Sus scrofa: one gene and its partners. The protein of the gene in region 5 interacts with the protein of the main gene of each other region in a pairwise test. Links are inferred from orthologs where the notes say so. Each region holds a gene or a part of one and is shown on either strand. Other genes may lie near its edges.

Region 1 (3,500 bases), on a different chromosome or scaffold from region 5:
ACCACGCAGCCATAAAAAAGAATGAAACAATCCCACTCGAAGTAACCTAGATGAACCTAGGGACTGATTATCATCCTTAGTGAAGTCAGTTCAGACAAAGACAAGTACCACATTGTACCACTGCTACGTGCAATCTAGAAAAACATAATAAAATGAACTTACGAAACAGAACCAGACTCACAGACATGCAACAAGGACCTACTGAAGAGCACAGGGAACTGCCCCATGTCTTGTAATAACCTGAGACAGCACAGAACCTGGAAACACCACACAACTGAATCACTCTGTGTACACGTGAAACAAACACATACCATAAACCAACTACACGTCAATCTAAAAATTTTTAATATCAAAGTAAGACTTTGATAGTTTCCCTTCGGGAAAAGAGAAGAGACAGAGAAGGACGTGAACAGCTAATGGCCCGCGTGGTTTTAGCGGGAGGCCCACAGCCTGAGGAACGGGGTGCGAGAGACACCCTCGGTTCCCGACGCTCAAGCACACAGAGCAGCCTGGGTCACGGTCAGGTTCCCTGTGAAGAGGACGCCTCGGGGACTTCTTTTTGTTCCTTCCCGGCTGCACACGCAGCATGTGGCAGTTCCTGGGCCAGGGGGTCACCCCTGCGCCTCGGCAGCGAGCCCAGCCACAGCAGGGACAGCGCCAGATCCTTCATCTGCTGCGCCACAAGGGAACTCCGAAAACGTTGTTTTTCTTTTCTAAGGGACTTCCTGTTTACACCCGGAGTCAGGATGAACCAAGGCCACATGAGTGGGGTGGCGCGAGGGTGGAGCGGGGGTACGAGGGATGGTTGGAACCTGAGTAGTTGTTTACTGGAGCTGAAGTTATAAAACTCAGAGAAGAAAACAGAGAGGAGGATCTCCACGATGGTGGATCTGGCCCTGATTTCTTGGATATGACACCAAAAGCACAGGCAATAAAACACAAAACACATAACGGACTCAACAAAATTTCAACTTTGTACACATCAAAATCAGCAGAGCGAAAAGGCAACCCATGGAGGGGGAGACTGATGCCCAGTGTAGATGTGACACAGGATTAACGTCAGGAATACAAGAAGAACTCAACAACAAACCCCCAAACCACCTGATCAAAAAAGGGCAAAGGAGGAGTTCCTGCAGTGGCAGAGCAGAAACAAATCTGGCCAGGAACCATGAGGCTGTGGTTCGATCCCTGGCCTCGCCCAATGGGTTAAGGATCCGGCGTTGCCCTGAGCTGTGGTGGAGGTCGCAGATGCAGATTGGATCTGGCATTGCTGTGGCTGCAGGCTGGGACCCCTAACCCGGGAACTTGCATGTGCTGCAAGTGCGGCCCTAAAAAGCAAAAAAAAAAAAAAAAGACAAAGAAAGAAGTGGGGGGTGGGGCCAAGGACTTGAAGAGACCTTTCTCTCAGAAATGAGCACGAAGCACAGGAAGAGACGTTCAGCATCCCTGAACACAACGGACACGCAACTCAAAACTGCCAGGAGATACCATCTCACACGCACCAGAAAGGCTACTACTAAAAAAAGAGGAAAATAAATGTGGGCACGGATGCGGAGAAGCAGGGACTCCGCTCCCTGTCGGAGGGAACGTCAAATGGTGGAAACAGCACGCAGGTTCCTCAGAAGGTTCCAGGTGGAATAACCGCGGACCCAGCAAGCCCGTCCTGGGCATCGACCCAGACACACTGGGAGACAGCAGGGACCAGGCAGGCACCTTCAGGTTCACGGCAGCCCTGTTCACAAGGGCAGGGGACACACAGCCTGAACGGCCACCACCGGACGATGGGCAGACAAAGTGGAACGTTACTTACACACAGTGGGGTACCGTTCAGCCTAGAAAGGAAATCCGGACACAGGCGACAGCAGGGCTGAACTGAGTGAAACGAGCCAGCTACGGAGGCCAGAGCTGCACGGTGCCACGTATACCAGGGCCCAGCCACAGAGGCCAGAGCTGCACGGTGCCACGTATACCAGGGCCCAGCCACGGAGGCCAGAGCTGCATGGTGCCACATATATCGGGGCCCGGAGGAGGCCACTTCATGGCAGCAGAAGCAGCAGAGAGGCTCCGGGGCCCCAGGGCCACCGCTGAGTGGGTCAGCTTCTGCCTGGGATGATGGAAACATCGGGAAACGGGCAGTGGTGACAGCTGCACACCTTTCTGAACAGACTTAATGCAACTGAACTGTACACTTAAAAGGGGTTTCCATGCCAAGTGTCGGCACATTTATGCACCAGGTTATCATCATGCAGGCAAATCAGTCACTGGTTTAGCAGTTCGATGAAGATACAGACACTGCCAAACTCCAACTTATGATCACTGTAATAAAACCAAGCCTTAATTTAAGGTTTTCCTAACCAAGAGGTTACTGATTTAGGGTCTCCCGTGGACTGAGGGGCATGTGAAAACGTTCTAGGACTGTCAGGGAGCAGGTGGGAGCGCGGTTCTCAGAAGTTCCAGAGACGTCAACGAGGCTCCCGTCCCGCCTTCGAGGCCATCCAACCATTCACTTCGGAGAGTAAAGGGCCCCTGTGCTAAAACTATTTAGCACTAAGTTGTTACGTGACAGAGAGATTTTACTTACTTGAAATGAACATGAGAAACATGCAGAGCTAGCCTGACCACACAGCTGACAACCTGCCAGCGGCAACCAGGTAACACCCAACATCCAAAGCAACACAGCGACTTGCTCGGGCACCGCTCTGAGCTCTGAGCTCTGCTGGGTCTCGCTCGGCCGCCCCAGACCTGCAGCCTTCCTGCTTCTCTGTTCCCAATCCCCACCTGGAGATACCAAGACGGCAGGGGACCACGGTCCCGTAATACCTCAAGTCAAAACCTGGGTCTGACTCTGTGCCTTTACTTATTAAAACACTTTAACTAAGTAGTAATAATAGTATGTGTGTGTGTTTGTGTGTGTGTTTGTCTTTTAGGGCCACTCCCGTGGTGTATGCAGGTTCCCAGGCTAGGGGTCAAAGCGGAACTGCAGCCGCCGGCCTCCACCACAGCCACAGCAACGCCGGATCCAAGCCGCATCTGTGACTTACACCACAGCTCATGGCAATGCCGGATCCTTAACCCACTGAGCGACGCCAGGGATGGAACCTGCATCCTCACGGATACTAGTCGGGTTCATTAACCACTGGAGCCACGATGGGACCTCCCCACAACAATACTTTTGAAAACTCCCGTTACACACAGGGACAAGGGACAGCACTACACCACTGGGGATAAAAGGTGGATGTCGGCAAAGACCGCCCGGCTCATCAGGCAGCCCCACGGGGCAGCCCCGACTCCCGCTCCGTTACCTTCAGCTGGGTCTCCGTGGGAGTCGGGGCCAGGAAGGGCGGCTGCCCCACCAGCATCTCGAAGAGAATCACGCCGACACTCCACCAGTCGCAGAGCTGGGTGTACCCTGAAAGACAGAGTCGGGCTCCTGAGGGGCACAGGCCCGGATGCGTCCTGATTTTCCACCATCAGCCTGTGACAAGCACCGTATGTGCTCT
Region 2 (2,230 bases), on a different chromosome or scaffold from region 5:
CCTAATCAAGAGGGGAAGTGCCCTACTATGGGTTCTGGAAGAGAATGGCTCAGTCAGCCAGGCTCACTTGTTTCTTATTTTCCAATTAAAGAAATAAAGGCTGTGAATTTTCCTCTGAGTATCTCTTTGGCCATAACACACAGATGTTGATATGTTACGTTCTCATTGTCTTCACTTCTGACTAGTCTATAATTTTATTTTTAAGTCTCTCTCATAACCCAAGAAGAATTTACTTTTAATTTCCATACAGATATTTTCTTTTCAGTTATGGATTTCCTGTTTTATCTAATTACAGTCAGAGACCATGGCTTATATGACTTTGCCTTCTGCCTTTTCCCTTATTTCTTTTGTAACCTCAAGGAAATTAATTTTATAAGGATCCTGTGGGCATTCTTTAATTTGGTACAAAGTTCTAAACATCAACAAAAAACAAATTTGTTATGCATTTAAATCCTCTCTAAGCTTTTGGTTGTTTTTTTTTTTTTTTTTCCTTCTTTTTTGGCCACAGTACAGCATATGGAAGTTTCCAAGCCAGTAACTGAATCCCCAGCCACAGCGGTGACCTACACCAGAGCTGCATCAATGCTGGATCCTTAACCCACTGGGCTGGGCTGAGCCGGGGATCAAACCTGCACCTCAGCAGCAACCCAAGCCACTACAGAGACAATGCTGGATCCTTAACGCTGTGCCACAGCAGGAACGCCCAAGTTTCTCGTTTCCTTTTTGGATCTTCTTCATCCTCCTGTTTCTAGGACTGTATTAAAATCTACTCCCAGGAGTTCCCGTCGTGGCGCAGTGGTTAACGAATCCAACTAGGAACCATGAGGTTGCGGGTTCGATCCCTGCCCTTGCTCAGTGGGTTAAGGATCTGGCATTGCCATGAGCTGTGGTGTAGGTTGCAGACACGGCTTGGATCCCGCGTTGCTGTGGCTCTGGCGTAGGCCGGTGGCTACAGCTTTGATTAGACCCCTAGCCTGGGAATCTCCATATGCCGCGGGAGCAGCCCAAGAAGTGGCAAAAAGACAAAAAAAAAAAAAAAAAAAAAAAATCTACCCCCAGCAGGAGTTCCCATTGTGATGCAGTGGTAATGAATCCGACTGAGAACCATGAGGTTCTGGGTTCGATCCCTGGCCTCGCTCAGGGGGTTAAGGATCCGGTGTTGCCATGAGCTGTGGTGTGGGTCGCAGACACAGCTCGGATCTGCTGTTGCTGTGGCTGTGGTGCAGGCCAGCAGCTGTAGCTCTGATTAGACCCCTAGCCCGAGAACCTCCATACGCCATGGGTGCGGCCCTAAAAAGCAACAAAATAAAAATAAATAAAACCTATCCTCAGGAGCATTTTCGTCAAATTTCCTTGTGCTCCAATTATGTCTGCCTTGTATATTTTGATGTTGTTTGGGCATTATTTGCCTACAGAGAGGGAGACGGGACCCAGGGAGGAGCTGGGATCTGCCAGAAGAGGGAGGGTACTGACTGGGCTTGGGGAGGCCCAGAGGTCCGGGCGGGGCTGAGGCTCACCACTGTGCGGTGAAGTCCACAAACTCGGGGGAGAAGCGGTCAGCTGGGAGCTGAGGGGACGGCTCCTCCACCACCTGCTTCAGCTGCTGGAACGGGGTGCCCCACGACTCATAAGGAAACCGCAGGATGGCCATCTCGATCTGCAGGGGAGACAGCCACAGTGGGTCCAGCGCAGCCGCAGCTCTGCAGCCCCGGAGCCCATTCGCGGATCCTGGCCCAGCGCCCAGAGCTGGCCTGTGAGGCAGGTGAAGGGCGGACACAGCCCGTCAGGCCAAAGCGAGAAAGGCAGGGGACCCCAGCAGCTACTCCTCTGACCCAGCCAGCAGACTAAGCTCTCACCCCGAGTTGTGACTGGCTTGGCTACGCTGGGTGTTCAATCTGGATTCAGAAGATTTTACATGGAAACCTAGGTTCCAGCTCCTTTGGAGAAACGGTGGGGACACCTTCCCACAAGGTGGCAGTCGGCAAAGGAACCTGGGTAACCAGCATCCCTGTTTGCCACAGGCCACCCGCCACGATGCCTCCACAATGTCTTAAGCATCTGCTGCACTGATCTGGGTTGTTACCCCTGAAAGGGCAAACGAGGAGTTCCCGTCGTGGCTCAGTGGTTAATGAACCTGACTAGCCTCCATGAGGACGCAGGTTCAATCCCTGGCCTCGCTCAGTGGGTTAAGGATCCGGCGTTGCCGTGAGCTGTGGTGTAGGTCACAGGC
Region 3 (3,500 bases), on a different chromosome or scaffold from region 5:
ACAGCAATATTTATTATTATTGGTTATTTTTTTTTTAAATTATTGTTCTGATCATTACTTTTCTTCTACAAAGACAAGGCTATGTTATATGTAATTTTGAATCTAATATTTTTGCTTCACAGTGTGTCTCGTACATTTTTCCCATGTCAGAAAAATGTATCTAGGAGTTCCTGCTGTGGTGCAGTGGACTAAGCATCCAACTGCACTGGCTCAGGGCACTGCAAAAACATGGATTTAATCCCTGGCCCAGTGCAGTGGGTTAAAGGAATCCGGCGTTGCTGCACCTCTGGTGTAGTTTGCAGCTGTGGATCAGATTCAGTTCTGGCCCAGAAATGTCCATATGCTGCTGAGGCAGCAATAAAATTTAAAAAAAAATGTATCTAGCTCTTTTGTTTTGTTTTGTTTTTTCTGGGGTCACACCCGTGGCATATGGAGGTTCCCAGGCTAAGGGTCCAATTGGAGCTGTAGCCGCTGGCCTACACCACAGCTCACAGCAACGCTGGATCCCCAACCCACTGAGCAAGGTCAGGGATCGAACCCACAACCTCATGGTTCCCAGTCAGATTTGTTAACCACTGAGCCATGCCGGGAACTCCTAGCTCCTTTTTTTTTAATGTGGTGTTTCATTGTGTGGATATTTATTGTACTTAACTTGTTGCCTTTAGTTGGTAATTCGTGTTGTTTCCTTTTTCTTTTCTCCTTTCTATTACAAATATTTCTGAAATACTTATGCATATATCTTGGGGTACTTATACATAGGACACATTTCTAGAAACAGATTTTTTTTTATGGCTGTACCTGTGACATATGGAAGTGTCTGGGCCAGGGATTGAATCCAAGCCACAGCTATGGCAATACCGGATCCTTAACCCACTGAGCTGGGCCAGGGATCGAACCCGTGCCTCTGCAGCATCCCGAGCCACTGCAGTCAGATTCTTACTCCATTGCGCCACAGCAGGAACTCTCAGAAACTGATTTTGGTCAAAGGATATGGACGTTTAAATTTTATAAATGTTGCCAAATTGCCTATTATCAGTACTAGTTATTGTTAATCTTTTTAATTTTTGTCAATTTCATTTTAGTGGTTTTATTAATTGATTGTTATTTTTATGTTTAAATAATTGAGACTCTTTTACATGTCTGTGTCATTTGAATTTCTTTTGTGGCTGCTTGATCGATCATGCTTCTTTAATATGGTTTTTGTGTGTATTTCAAGTCCTAGTCGTGTCTTCTTGTTGGTTTGGACAGGACTCTCTTTCCCAGTAGTTTTAATGCTTGGTGTTGATCTTCCTCCTTTCTATTTTAGGATACCATGGCCAAAAGAAATACAGTGATAGGGACACCATTTTGGATGGCTCCAGAAGTGATTCAGGAAATAGGGTACAACTGTGTGGCAGACATCTGGTCACTGGGAATCACTGCCATAGAAATGGCCGAAGGAAAGCCGCCGTATGCCGATATCCATCCAATGAGGGTAAGAACATGGACAGAATATCAGCGGGGTGGTTAGTTACCAGTGATCATTAGAAGGTTGGTTCAGCGACTTACTTGGTTAGGTACCAAACAATAAATGAATTAATTTTAAATAGTTGATAAGTGTCAGTCTAGACTCCAGTTGTACACTTCCATTAGTTGTAGTCACTTATGAATTCAAGTGTAATCCACTCCTCTCCATTCCAAAGATTGTGTACTCGTAGCCCTCTGGCAGGACATGGGCCAAGAAATGCTTGGTTTGACTTGTGCATTGTGTGTGTTTTTAATAGTTCAGGTTCTCGCGTTTTAATATAACAGCATTAACTGGAGCTGAGGAGCAGTCCTGACCTTCATACAGGGGCGTGGGCTTAGCACTTTCCCAGTCTCCACGATTCCGTATTCACCAAGTACCAGTTATTGCTTATTGCAGTGTTTTCTGTTTTTCTTATAATAGTATTAAGAGGAAAGCAGACTGTTTTTTTGAACTCATGTCACTAACACCCAGCCTGATTCATTTGTTGTCTTTTTCCTGTCTCGTCCTTACATGAGTGAGTTCTGGAGGCTCTGTGCTTTCCAGGCTCCATCCGCTTGTGGAGTATGAAGGGCCCATAGAGTCATTCTCCATTGAAACTCCTTCTGTGTTGATAGCTAAGCAGTTTCCAGGCTTCAGCCACCATAGAACCCCCCTCGTCACAGCACTGTTGCAAGAGCTCAACCCGGCCTTCAAGGGCTCCGTAGTCCTCTCCAGACTGCCCATCCCAGCTCCTCCTCTCCTCTGATTAAGTAGTCCTTCTGTCAAAAGACCTAACAGTTTTTTTTAAAAGTATTTGTGTGAAAATAATATATATACAAAATAAAGTATTCGTGTGCTCAAAGATAAGCTCCGTCTTTGTAGGGGGCAGAAGTGGAGAAGGATGGGAAGATTTACTGGTTATATTTTTAGATTGAATGAATATAATGTAAGCTGCTTATTGCAGAGTTTTATTTTTTCTAGAAACTGTACTTCTTTTATTGGAAACACGATAAATAATATAGGCATACCTCGTTTTATTGCACTTTGCTTTATTGCTTTTAACAATTGAAGGTTTGTGGCAACCCTGCATCAAGAAGTCTGTTGGTGCCATTTTTCCAACAGCATTTGCTCACTTAACGTCTCTAGTCAACATTTTGGTAAATCTCGCAATATTTCAAACTTTTCCATTGCTGATATATTTGATATGGTATCAGTGATCTTTGACGTTACTATTTCAAAAAAAGATCATAACTCACTGAAGGCTCAGATGATGGTTAGCATTTTTAGCAATACATTATTTTTTTTAATGCAGGTATATACATTGTTTCTTTAGACATAAAACTATTGCACACTTAATAGACTACAGTATAGGGGAAGCATAACTGTTATATGCACTGGGAAACCGAAAAAATCATGTGATTTGCTCTATTGCAGCAGTCTGGAACTGAACCTACAGTATTTCCTATAGTTTTATTTTTTTTGGAAATAGTAGAATTTAATTGCCATGTAGTAGGCCAATTTTTTTTCAAGTATGTAGAATTAATGTGGCTTGGAGGCTGATGACTCTCTTGTGATTTGGGGGACTTCTAGGTTTATGACCTCCTTTCAGTCACTTTTTTTTTTCTCTGCTTTTTAGGGCCGCACACACGGCTTCTGGAGGTTCCCAGGCTAGGGGTTAAATCGGAGCTGTAGCTTCTGGCCTATGTCACAGCCACAGCAATGCGGAATCCCGAGCCGTGTCTTCGACCTAGACCACAGCTCACGGCAACCTCGGATCCTTAACCCACTGAGGGAGGCCAGGGATCGAACCTGCAACCTCATGGTTCCTAGCTGGATTTGTTTCTGCTGTGCCACAACGGGAACTCTGCAGTCACTTATTATATCCAGGGGTGGTGGTAACTTTTAGGGAAGAGGGAAACTTGACAGCTACAGGGCTGGGGTTCTCTTCAAGATGTTGATGTTTGGTCTTGCCTTTTCACTTTGAGTGGCAGTGTACTTTGGTCAGCAAAACCCC
Region 4 (4,019 bases), on a different chromosome or scaffold from region 5:
TGTTTTACTTAAATTTCTTTTAAAAATCGTTGGTAGACATTAAACAGCTTTCTGCGGAACTTTCGCAATTTACTAGTCTCAGATTTCCGCATCAGATCGTGCAGTACAATTACCATGGACGCAGTGTGTAGAATGGACGGGGGCGGGGTGGGAGTGGAGACCAGTTAGGTCCTAGCAAAGGACCTGTAGGACTTGGCATCTTACAGCCTACCCACAGGCATGGGGCGTAGCCTGGGGGCTCGTCATAAACGCGGAACCTCAGGTTCCAACCCAGACATACCTGATTCGAATCTGCATTTTAACGAGATGCCCAGGGAATTCCCATTACGGCTCAGCGGGTTACTAACCCAACCAGTATTCATGAGGATGTGGTTCAATCCCTGGCCTGCTCAGTGAGTAAAGGATCCCTGTTGCTGCGAAATGTGCTGTAGCTGGAGCTCCGACTTGAGCCCTAGCCTGGGAACTTCCATATGCCCCAGGTGTGGCCCTAAAAAAAGGCAAAACAAACAAAAACACCAGGATGTTCAGATGATTCCTGTACCCATTCGAGTGTGAGAAGCACTGTTCTAGACCAGAGGTTTCAAATTCCACATTTAGAATCACCTGGGGACCTCTAAAAACTCCAATGTTCCGGGTACACCTTTTGCCTATTAAATTTCTGCGAATGGAACCAAAAAAACCCCAAACCTCCAAGGAATCCCAACGTGCAGCCAATTTTGAGAAACTGTGATCTGGAGGAGTAGCCTGGAAGGAAACGTAACAGTGGCTAGTAGGGCTCAGGTGGCTAAGGAACAGGTACGGGAAGGAAACGTACTCTGCACTTTGTAGCTCCGCTCTGCGTTTGAAATTTTGCACGGTGTGTATCAGTAGCACCATGGAAAAGAACTAACAACTGTAGGAAAGCCTGTGGTAAGTGCCTTGAATTAGGCGCTAAACTAGGCAGATCAGGGCAGGTGGCCGCTGACCCAGCCCTACACTCCGGTATTCCGGCCACGGGCTGCTCTCCGGCCAGTTTGCCCCGCCCCTCCGCACACGGGGAGACAACGTGGGGCGCAGGCGCGCTGGCTGTCCCAGACAAGTCGGCCTCGGCTGACGTCAGGACGCCTCGCGGGTTCTAGCCCCCCGCCCCGGCCCCCGAGTCCCGCGCGGGCCGGGCGGGGGCGGGGCGTCGGCCAGCTGAGCTATCCCGTCCGACCGCGCCAGTTTGAATGAAAGCTCCTCAAGATGGCGGCGGCCGGGGCCGAGGCGCGAGGAGGTGAGGGCTGGAGAGCGGCGCCCCGCACTGTCCCCCGTCCTCCAGGCAAACTCCCGAGGCCGGGGAAGCGGGGCCGGGACGCGCGGGCGGGCCGGAGCGCGACGGGACAGGAAGCCTCCTGCCGCGCGGCTGACGCGGCGGCCCCTACACGCGCGCCGCGGGCCCCTCCCTGCCCCGGGCCCCTGACCCTCCTCGCGGCTCGGCCCGCCCGCGGCCCGCAGTCTCCTCCCGCGCCCGGCCCCCGCGAGGCCAGGCCCGCACGCCCCGCTGCCGGCTCGCGGACTCGGCGGTCTGGGTCCCGCTGCCGTTCGGGCCCGAGATGGGCCCCGGCCCGGCCGCGGTGCGGAGGCGTTCGAACGGCTCCGGCGGATCCCTGCGCGGCTCGAGGTCCGTGGGCACACGGGGGGCTCGACTCCTTTGTGCTGCTTTGAGCGGGACGGTTCGCGGTCCGGGCCGGTTTTTGAACTGGGGAGCGGGAGGCCTCCGGTGGTGTAGGTGTGACCTCAGTATCCGAGGAGAGGAGTAGTCGGGGCGGAGGTGTGGAGGCTGAGAAAGGAAAGAAGTGAGGGTACACCCCATTTTGGACTTACTGGGGGGCTTCCGCTCCCAGTTGGGAACATCCCAGGAAGTGGGTCTCGGAGGTTGTGGCCTCCGGCTCATGGGGAAGAGTTCTCCCCGGCGGGAGCTTGCGTGGGAATTAATGAGGTGGACGCCAAGGAGCTCGGTGCTGAACGTGTATTTGTGCGCGCGCTGAAAGACTGGAACTTTCAATGCCTTCTGGAACCTGAAAGGTGTTTCCAGCACTGCGCTTCTCGGCATAGATCGTGGACTCACTGCCCCCCAGCGTGTCTGCCACTAGGGGTTAGTGTGAACTCAAGTTTTGGGGGTGGTCGCGAAACGTTTAATCTTATAAAGGAGTTCTTTCCCTATCTTATTAGAGGCGATCCGAATTGTTACCAGGAGTTTGCAGGTTTTTTAGGTTCCAGTCGTTCTCAAACATAGCATTTCTGTCGAGGCTTGTGTCTTGAATCTGCATAGTACTCCGACTAGATAACAATGGTAGGAACAGCAGACAAACATACCTTGGGTAGATAATCCAGAGGAAGGTCCTTTGCATGCCATCAGCATAAGGAGGTTATCTTGACGCAAAACTTCCTGAAGCTTTTTCAGTGAAAGGATTTAAAGGGTCGTTTCTGTTCTGCCAAATTCCCCTACGTCCAAGCCAACACTCCAAAACAAGCACACTCTTAGCCCTAAATTTTGAAGAGAACAATTCCTTTCACTTTCTTGGTCTGGAATTACGAACCCTACTTCACGGTTCCTGACGGTGAGGTGCCTGTGTGAGTTGGGGAGGGTGAGGACGTAGTAAGAACAGCTGTGTTCTCTCTTCCCTGGAAATTACTTCAAAACAAAAGGTTATCACAACTACCTTGGAGAGCTACCAAGTAAAGCTTGCGTTTACTGATGGATTTTGTTTGGTAATCCCAGTTTACTCCAACCCTCACTCCTTTCTTCCCCCCCCCCCCCCCGCAGTGAATCTGAAACCTAGAAACAGAGAAACTTCTCTAAAGCCAGCCTCAGGGAATCTGGGGCAAAACCCCCTGATCCTCCCTAGTGCTTCTCATAGTCTCATAGCCATAAAACCAAGTTTATGACATCAATTTGTGTTAACATTTTAGGTGCAGTGGGTAGCATGCTATTTACAGGAATTTGAGGGTAAAATCTTCCTCAGCACAGTTAGTTTCTAGCTTCCATTCGTTTCTAGCATACTCTTGATTATGAGTATGTCTGCTTTTCTTCAAGCTTGGTGTATGGATTATTTAAATTGATACTCTGTATTGTCATTCTCGGCTTTAAAAACAATACAGGAATTGAATATTAGAAAACTCAATATACTGTCCATTATTTTATTATAATTCTTGGGCTTATTTACCTTGATAATAATATATTGCAGCCTGGGCAAAACTGGAGTTAAAACTTCATGCAGCCTTCCAAAGTGGGGAAAGTAGGCCATATGATGTATGAGTAACTAAAGAATTATATTTCAATTAGGTTTTATTTCTTATTGTTCAGCTAGGAGAAAGGGGGAACGTTACTTTTAACAATAGACGATAATTTTAAAATATATTTAAGATGTATTTATAGTGATGATTAGTATGTCCTTGAGATCTACATTTTTATTAAAACAGCACTTCTCTGTAGAATACAATGGAAAAGTAAAAAATATCTCTACCTTTGCATTTATATGTAATTTAAAAAAAATTTATTGGTGCTTAGTTGACTTACAATGTTGTGTTAGTTTCAGGTGTACAGCAAGTGAATCAGTCATAAATAGAGCCATTCTTTTTTCCCATTAAGGTTATTACAAACCATTGAGTAGATTTTCCTGTGCTATACAGTAGATTCTCATTAATCATCTGTTTTCTACAGTAGTGTGTGTATGTTACTCCCACCCTCCCAATTCTTCCCTTCCCCCCAATGGTTTCACCTATAGTAACCTTAAGATTGGTTTTGAAATCTGTGAGTTTGTTTCTGTTTTATAAATTAAGTTCTTTTGTGTCATTTTTTAATTAGATTCCACATATAATGCATGTAATTTTATGAAAGCTTACAGACATGAAACATTTTGTTCAGGTGGCCTAGTAGAAACTAATTGACATCAACTAAACATGTTAGGGTAGAGACCCATGAGAAAATCCAAGAAGACCGATTTACCAAAATAGTTCTTTAATGGTTAACTTTTTCTTAAAGACATGTAAATGAT
Region 5 (4,084 bases):
CTGCCTTGCCCATAAACTCCCCTGCCCCGTGCTCACCACGTTCGTATCCCGTTCCAGCGCCGGTTCCCAGCCCAGGTCCCGGGGCCCGCAGCAGTCTAGGCAGACAAGCGCGCGGCAACGGTAGTGGCAGGTGAACTTGCAATCTGCAGAGAGGTCTGGTCGTGAGGCGGAAAAACCCCAGCAGCAGCTTGGAGAAGCGTCCCAGGGACAGAAGGGAAGCCTCGGTGTGAAGGCCTTTGCTCTCTGTGCTCTGCATGACCTGCCTCATCTCCGGCCCCGTTACCGCCCCACTGCTACACAGATTTTCAGTGTTGGTCCCCGGGGGATGGGGGTGGGGGCGGGGGCGCCTGAAAACTGGCGGGGGCGCCTGAAGGCCTCACGCGTTAGGTTAGGCCTGCTTAGCAGTTGGATTCCTAGCGCTTAGGACAGAACTTTCCCCTTCCTTATTATCAGTGCCCCTCCCTCCGCCCATTTATTTGAAGGGGAAAAAAATAAAAAAATTTTTAACCCAATGCTCTCTACCCTCTCGGTGTCATTTGTACTCCCCTGGCACCAAAAGCTTACCAACATTGGTCTACAAACACTTAATTCCTCGCCTTCACCCTTTACCCATCCCAGTTAGGCTTGCCTCTTCCTCCAGACACGGCACTGTTCAGGGTTGTTAGCGACCTGTGCATTACCAAATCCAGTGGGCCCTTCTCCATCTTCGCCTCCTCAGCATTGTCTGATGCTTGCTCTCCTTGATCCCCACCCCGGGGAGGGGGTGCTACCCTGGTTTTCCTCCCACCTCTCTACAGCTCCTGCTGTTTCAACTTCCAGATTTAGTGGAGTGTCAAAGGCTCAGTCCTGGTCATTTCCCTGCTCTGTGTACACTGACCTACCCGAGATCCAAGGCTTCCCTCACTGACTCCAACCCCATCAAATCCCATGTGTCAGTTTCTTCGTTTGGATGTTTTATAGATATCTCAACCCAACGTGACCAAAATTTAACTCACTTTCCTACCCTTTAAAACTCACTTTTCCTCACTCTTACCCTTGCCAGAGCTTCTCATCTCAGCAAAAATTTCCCAGTTGTTTGAGGCAAAAAAATCACCCTAACTCATCCTTAATTCCTCCCTTGTTTCTGCCTCTGACACACATCCAAATTTTCCTGTTTTTCAATTTCATATTCACTTTATTTCTACTTGGGAACAGTGCTAATGTCCCAGCCCTTGTTCATGCTTTGCATTCTGTAACAACTCCTGTGCTCCTCCCAGCTGAATTCAGGACAAACTCCTGTACCTGATGAGGCTATCCTTGGACACACAGGCCTGGGACAGCTTCCCTAAGTTCCTAAATGGGCCAGAGCACTGATTCACAACCCAGGCTGCACATTAGAATGATCTGTCTTTAAAAATCGCTGATAACACTCTCGTGATCGATTCAACAGGTCTCAGGTAGGATTCAAGCATAGAGGTTTGGAGGACTGTAAAAGCATACTAAGTGTATAGCCAGGGGGGAGAGCAACCTCTTATTGCTGGTGGTTCCTGGAGGGCAGAAGCATCAGCTGGTGTGTGGACGCTCCTATTTTTTTTTTTAAGGGCCGCACCCACGGCATAGGGAAGTTCCTGGGCTAGGGGTCTAATTTGAGCTGCAGCTGCCGGCCTACACTACAGCCACAGCAATGCAGGATCTAGGCCACATCTTCGACGTATACCACAGCTCATGGCAATGCCGGATCCTTAACCCACTGAGCAAGACCAGGGATCGAACCCATGTCCTCATGGATACTAGTCAGATGAGATACCGCTGAGCCACAAGGAGAACTTCAACAAAAACTCTTGCTTGCAGGGGGCCTACCCAAGGGTCTAACTTTTTCAAGGCCTTCTCCCATTGTCGGGTAAATTCTCTTCACCCCAGGAATTCTGGAGGGGGACTTGGTGAGTGAATCTTTGTAAGGGGCAGGTGTGGGAATATGAACTCAAAGACTGGTGGGTACAAAGCCTTTTTCAAGAAGGATCAAGGCACTTTTTAAACTTGAAAGCAGCACCTTGTTATTCACAGGCAACCACTGCTGCCTATGTCCCATATGCAGGTGGCACGCTTGTAAGATATCAAGGTTATAACCCATCTGCCTGCACTGTCTTAGGCTATTTGGCAAAAGTAAACTACCTGGTCTGTGGTCCCCACTGACCCCCTCCGTAGCAACTTGGCCTTCAGCTTGGCCACCCGTTTCACTCTCGCCAATGCCCCGGGCGCTACTCACGTGCGCACTGCAGGCCCTTGCGCACGACGCCCCAGATGAAGTCACCACAGAGGTCGCACCACGTGTGCGTGGCGGGCCCCGCAGGCTGGAAGCGGTGGCCTCGGCCCGGGACCAGCTGCCTTGCGTTGTTGCGCGCTGTGCCCGGAGCAATGCGCAGCGCGTTGGCACGCTCCAGCCGGGTGCGGACCGGGGCGGCGCACCGAGCGGGTGCCAGTTCCCGCAGCTCAATGAGCTCGGGCTCAGCGGACATGTCCCGGTCCGGCCGGGACTCCTGCTGGCTCTGGGCGCCGAGCGAGCTCCCGACGGGCGGGGCCGCGGGGCGGGCCCCCGATGCGGCGCCGCCTCCGGGGTTCAGGCAGAGCGGCGGGAGAGCAAAAGAGCGCGGCGCCAGGGATACCCAGCACCCAGGCTGCGTCTGCCCTCCCGCAGGAGAAGTGGAGCCCGGAGGGCGCTGCACGGGTGCTGCTGTCGCGGAGTCCCCGCCCTCCTACCTCCCTTCATCCCTCGAGCTACTCCCCTCCCCCTAACAACCACGACGACCACGCGGAAAACAGGCGTCTTTATGGAAACCAGCTTTACTTTACTTACTGAAGGAAGAGGGTCCCCACATCCGGTTCTCACCCCCACAACCCCGCCCAGGGCCTCTCTCCCCAGCTTGCTGAGGCTGCACCCTAAGCCGGGTGGGGCAGGAAGTGGGGATGGCTTTGCTGGGGAAGATGGGTCAGCAGCACTTCCCTCCTGCTGTCTTCCTCATCTGGGAGGCTGGGGCACTTGCAGAGGCCAGGCCGAGATCCAGAGGTTCAGGGGTACACTCTAGTGGATTGTATGGCATGGTGGTTGGCCCTCAGCAGCTGCATCCTTCACTTGGCTCTGTCACCTTGGGCTGCCACAACACAAGACTTTCCATGTTTTTCCCAGTGCTTGACTTGGCACTCCCTGCAGGCAAGTGGGCCAGTAAAGATTCAGTGTTTGTGAGGGGTATGGAAGTGGGATTTAGGGATCCAAGATCCTAGGATACCCTCACCTGCAGCAGTACCACTCATTCTGGCATCGTGAGCAGCGCTTGGAGGCCTCTGCACTGCAGTAAGCACAGCGGGGTCGCTCTGGAGCCACTGCCTCCAGCACGTCCAGTCTGTAGGTCTCAGCCCACCTGGGAAAAGGGTCAGAAGGACTTGACTGGACCTGTGGGTGGGGGGACAGGAGCAGCCCTGCCCACATCCATGCCTTCTGCATCTCTTCCACCCCTTCCAGCAGGCCTCACCTTTGTGCTTGCAGCCTCAGGTCCTGCTCTGAGGTGCTGAATATATGCTGCAGCTGGTGCTTGGCAATAGCCTGCCACTTGCCTTTGTTCTCTTGCTCTAGCCGCTCCCAGATTTCTGGGATCTGGGGAAGAGAAATGGAGAGTAGCAGGGAGGAGCTGGCAAAGTGGGCAGTGGTCCCGAGCAACTAACTTTCTAGTGCCTACCTGTTCCAACACCAGGTCTTTCTTAGGGGGCTGGGCTTCGGCCAGGGCCAGGTGGGCTAGGAAACCCTGCAGGTCTGCCAGGTTGGGCATCTGGTCCAGCAGCGTGTCTGTGAGGAATGCCTGAAGCTGCAAGGGTTTCCAGGGAGGCCAGTGTGAAGCAGTGCTGACCAGAAGGTCAAGGAACAGAGAGACCCTGGGCTGGGTTGGACTAAGGATGCCCGTGGGACCCACATCCCATTAGCTTCTGTGTGTGTCACCTGAGGCCCAAGTTCTGGAGAGAGGCCTAGGGTTGAGGCAGGTGGGTAAAAATAAACAGGGGTGGGGTGGGGCAGGGCTAGGGGGCTGTGGGGCTGATATGGGAGGAGTTCCTACCT
Region 6 (3,500 bases), on a different chromosome or scaffold from region 5:
AATTGTAAACCTGCACCTCTAACTTAAGCAACCAAGTAGACCAAAATTTAAATGTAAGTTAGGTACATGTATTTGGGGAATAGTGGATTAAGCAATATAAAGGAACTAGTTTCTTAGTTGCAGCTCTACTTTTAAGTAGGTATGTGACCTTGGAGAAGTCTCTTACTTTCTATAGGCTTAAGTTCTTTCTGTATAAAATGAGAGGTTGAATTATTATTATTTTTTGCTTCAAAAACTGATTTTTTTAAAGTATAGTTGATTTATAGTGTTGTGCCAGTTTCTGCTATACAGCATATAGTGACCCCGTTTACACACACACACACACACACACACACTGTCTTCCATCATGTTCTATTCCAAGAGATTGAATATAGTTCTCTGTGCTGTACAGTAGGACCTCATTGCTCATGCATTCTAAATGTAATAGTTTGCATCTACCAACAAGGAGAGTTTTGGTTGAATTATTACAGGTTCATGATTTTATAATTCTGTGAAAAAGTAAAATATAACAAATGCTTACTGTGTGTGTAATACTGAATGAAACACTTTAGTAGGTTCAGAAATACTAAAAGGCATTCTTAGCCATAGGTACTTACATTAAAAAAGATTTTATAAAACAGTTAAATATGAGATCATAAATTTAAATGCAAAAATGTATGATGCAGGTTATAAATTCTAGAAGTTTGGAAAAGAAGATAACTAATAAAGACTGAATTGCCCATGAAGGTAAAGATACTTGAGGAGTTCCCTTCGTGGCTCAGTGGTTCACGAGCCTGACTAGGAACCATGATGATGCAGGTTTGATCACTGGCCTCGCTCAGTGGGTTAAGGATCCGGCGTTGCCATGAGCTGTGGTGTAGGTCACAGACATGGCTCTTATCTGATGTTGCTGTGGCTCTGGTGTAGGCCAGCAGCTGTAGCTCCGATTCAACCCATAGCCTGGGAATCTCTATATGCCATGAGTGCAGCTCTGAAAAAAAAAAAAGATACTCGATCTGGAACTAAATAGGATTTAGTTAAGTTAGAGAGGAAAGAGCATCCTAGGTAGAGAAAAAGACATGAGCAAAGATGAAGTCCCTTTTGTGTGTGTGTGAAAAAAATACAAATTTATTATTTTATAGTTCTGTAGGTCTGAAGTCTGAAATGGATCTTACTGAGCTAAATTCAAGATATTAGCAGGTTTGTGTGCTCCTTTCTGAAGTCTCCACAGGGGAATCTCTTTTCTTGCCTTTTCCAGCTTTGGAATTGCTCACATTTCTTGGCTCATGGCCTCATCCCATTCTGTCTTCAAAGCGAGCAACTGTAAAGTTGTTCTTACATTGCCTCTGTTAGACACTGATGATGATGAGCATATTGTGATATGGGTTTATAGCAAGCATCTGGAGACTCAGTCAAGGTTAACCTGACTATCTTGGACCATATGTGAACAATGCGAAAATAGGATCAGCCACATAACATAACATAGAGGGCATTAAAATCTGGGCAGTTTTGTTTAGCTTTCATTGTAGGCAGAAACCGGGAGCTATTGCAGATTCTTCAATAGAAGAATATTATGATACAAATAGTATTCAAGAAAGATTGGCATAGTAGGTATACTTTAAAGAAGGCTGGAAACTACCTTGTCCCTAGTAGGCTGCAGGCATTTTGAATACCTCTTCTAAATAATCCTCATAACACCAATGAAAGAAAAATGCATTTAATACACCTAGCCTGCCAAAAAGCATAGCTTAGTCTAGCCTGCCTTCAGTGTGCTCAGAACCCTTAAATTAGCGGACAGTCAGGCAGAATCATTTAACACAAGGCCTATTTTGTAACAAAGTGTAGAATCTCACACGATCTGCTGACTCCTGTAGTGAAAAAGCACAGAATGGTTGTAAACATATTGGTTGTTTACTTCCCTGATCACATGGCCGACTGGGAGCTGCAGCTCACTGCTGCTGCCCAGCATCATGAGAGTATCACCGCATATTGCTAGCCTGGGAAAAGTTCAAAATTTGAAGTACAGTTTCTACTGAATGTGTATCTTTTTTGTATCATTATAAAGCTGGAAAATTCAAAGTGGAACCATTGCAGTCACGGACCATCTATTTGTAGATACTTACATACCAGTGTTGAGAGCGTTATTTATAATAACCAAAAGATATAAACACCTTAATGCCTATTAACAAAGGAATGGGTAAACATAAGGTGGTGTGTGTGGGGGTGGATGTGTGTGTGGCACATACACACGTATGTACATTGGAAAATTATTGTCTTTAAAAGGCATGAGATTCTGACATCCTGTACAACATGAATGAACCTTGAAAATATTGTACTCAAAGAAATAAGACAGACACAAAAGGCATGACTCTACTTAGAGGAGGTAGAATAGGTGGATTCATAGTGACAGAAAGTAGAATAGAGGTTACCAGAGATTGGAGGGAGGAACAAGGAGTTACTTTTAATGAGTATAGAATTCTCTGAGATGATGAAAAATTTCTGGAAATGCATCTTGGTGATTGGACAACATTGAGGATGTACTTAGTGTCATAGAACATGGTTAAAATGGTAAGTTTTGTGTTACATATTTCACAATTTCTGAAAAGCTAACAGCTCCTGTACAAAGTTACGAACATTATTAATGCTGTTATAATAGTGCCAACATTTCTCTCTTTCATGTGCTCTCTTTTATTTGTTTATTTTGTTACCTTATTCTTTGTTGATCATCTACCTATTTGAATCATTATTTTAAGAACAGCTAGCAGCTTTCTGTTTCACCAGCCAATTTCTATTGCTTGAGCTTTAGGTTATTTTGGATAACTTTGGCTCTTACGATAATATAACTAACAGTAGTCATTATTAAACATATACTATGGTCCTGGGTCACCATGCTATACAGTAGAAAAAAAAATTGTATTGGGGAAATAAGTATTAAAAAAATAATTTAAAAAACTGCAAAATAAAAGTATACTATGGTTGTACTGTTGTTAAGAAGTAAGATATCCAGCTGTGTTAGAAAAGTCTTCCTTCATTGCAGTGTTTTGCTTGCAGGATGAAGATGAGCTGGATTCCCACACCATGGTGAAGACCAGCTCGGAAAGTGTGGGCACAATGAGGGCCACAAGCACGATGAGTGAAGGGGCCCAGACCATGATTGAACATAACAGCACAATGTTAGAATCTGACTTGGGGACCATGGTTATAAACAGCGAGGACGAGGAGGAGGAAGATGGAACTATGAAAAGTATGTGGCTTTTTCCCATTGAATATTAACTTTCTGTTTTGGGAATATACTTCTATAGGAATCAGGATAGTTCTGTGTTACTTTTTATAGCCAGTTGTGCAAAGTTTTGTTTCTTGGCTCTATTTAACAATGAAAGACATTTGACACAAGTAAGTTTTTAAAAATTCTTTTAAAACAGCAGAAAGCAGTGCATCTTTAATAACCTAAGGGGTTATGGAACTTTTTGCTGTTGAAGGATGCTAACCCACAATTTAATTTGTAAAGTGTTTTTGAGATA

The links.
Region 1: the proteins of RASSF1 (region 5) and LATS2 come close enough for resonance energy transfer, tested with the Homo sapiens proteins (2 studies listed by BioGRID). The link is inferred for Sus scrofa from reciprocal best matches to the Homo sapiens genes RASSF1 and LATS2.
Region 2: the proteins of RASSF1 (region 5) and MAP2K3 come close enough for resonance energy transfer, tested with the Homo sapiens proteins (2 studies listed by BioGRID). The link is inferred for Sus scrofa from reciprocal best matches to the Homo sapiens genes RASSF1 and MAP2K3.
Region 3: the proteins of RASSF1 (region 5) and STK4 interact in binary tests that used the Homo sapiens proteins (3 or more experiments, as listed by UniProt). The link is inferred for Sus scrofa from reciprocal best matches to the Homo sapiens genes RASSF1 and STK4.
Region 4: the proteins of RASSF1 (region 5) and SUV39H2 interact in a two-hybrid assay, tested with the Homo sapiens proteins (2 studies listed by BioGRID and IntAct). The link is inferred for Sus scrofa from reciprocal best matches to the Homo sapiens genes RASSF1 and SUV39H2.
Region 6: the proteins of RASSF1 (region 5) and STK3 interact in binary tests that used the Homo sapiens proteins (3 or more experiments, as listed by UniProt). The link is inferred for Sus scrofa from reciprocal best matches to the Homo sapiens genes RASSF1 and STK3.

What each region holds. Positions count from the first base shown.
Region 1 is NC_010453.5:1,227,971-1,231,470, forward strand, and holds part of LATS2 (serine/threonine-protein kinase LATS2), read right to left. Parts: intron 3,410-3,500; coding exon 3,303-3,409; intron 1-3,302. UniProt on the Homo sapiens protein: Negative regulator of YAP1 in the Hippo signaling pathway that plays a pivotal role in organ size control and tumor suppression by restricting proliferation and promoting apoptosis.
Region 2 is NC_010454.4:61,413,369-61,415,598, reverse strand, and holds part of MAP2K3 (dual specificity mitogen-activated protein kinase kinase 3), read right to left. Parts: intron 1,658-2,230; coding exon 1,518-1,657; intron 1-1,517. UniProt on the Homo sapiens protein: Dual specificity kinase. Is activated by cytokines and environmental stress in vivo. Catalyzes the concomitant phosphorylation of a threonine and a tyrosine residue in the MAP kinase p38.
Region 3 is NC_010459.5:47,408,094-47,411,593, forward strand, and holds part of STK4 (serine/threonine-protein kinase 4), read left to right. Parts: intron 1-1,306; coding exon 1,307-1,474; intron 1,475-3,500. UniProt on the Homo sapiens protein: Stress-activated, pro-apoptotic kinase which, following caspase-cleavage, enters the nucleus and induces chromatin condensation followed by internucleosomal DNA fragmentation.
Region 4 is NC_010452.4:46,897,094-46,901,112, reverse strand, and holds the start of SUV39H2 (histone-lysine N-methyltransferase SUV39H2), read left to right. Parts: upstream 1-1,219; 5' UTR 1,220-1,224; coding exon of another isoform or gene 1,225-1,255; intron 1,256-1,463; exon of another isoform or gene 1,464-1,642; intron 1,643-4,019. UniProt on the Homo sapiens protein: Histone methyltransferase that specifically trimethylates 'Lys-9' of histone H3 using monomethylated H3 'Lys-9' as substrate.
Region 5 is NC_010455.5:32,822,565-32,826,648, forward strand, and holds the start of RASSF1 (ras association domain-containing protein 1), read right to left. Parts: upstream 2,801-4,084; 5' UTR 2,496-2,800; coding exon 2,246-2,495; intron 144-2,245; coding exon 37-143; exon of another isoform or gene 1-36. Other genes in the region: ZMYND10 (zinc finger MYND domain-containing protein 10), read right to left, coding at 3,106-3,181, 3,270-3,395, 3,507-3,628, 3,711-3,836, 4,083-4,084. UniProt on the Homo sapiens protein: Potential tumor suppressor. Required for death receptor-dependent apoptosis. Mediates activation of STK3/MST2 and STK4/MST1 during Fas-induced apoptosis by preventing their dephosphorylation.
Region 6 is NC_010446.5:38,221,302-38,224,801, forward strand, and holds part of STK3 (serine/threonine-protein kinase 3), read left to right. Parts: intron 1-3,030; coding exon 3,031-3,223; intron 3,224-3,500. UniProt on the Homo sapiens protein: Stress-activated, pro-apoptotic kinase which, following caspase-cleavage, enters the nucleus and induces chromatin condensation followed by internucleosomal DNA fragmentation.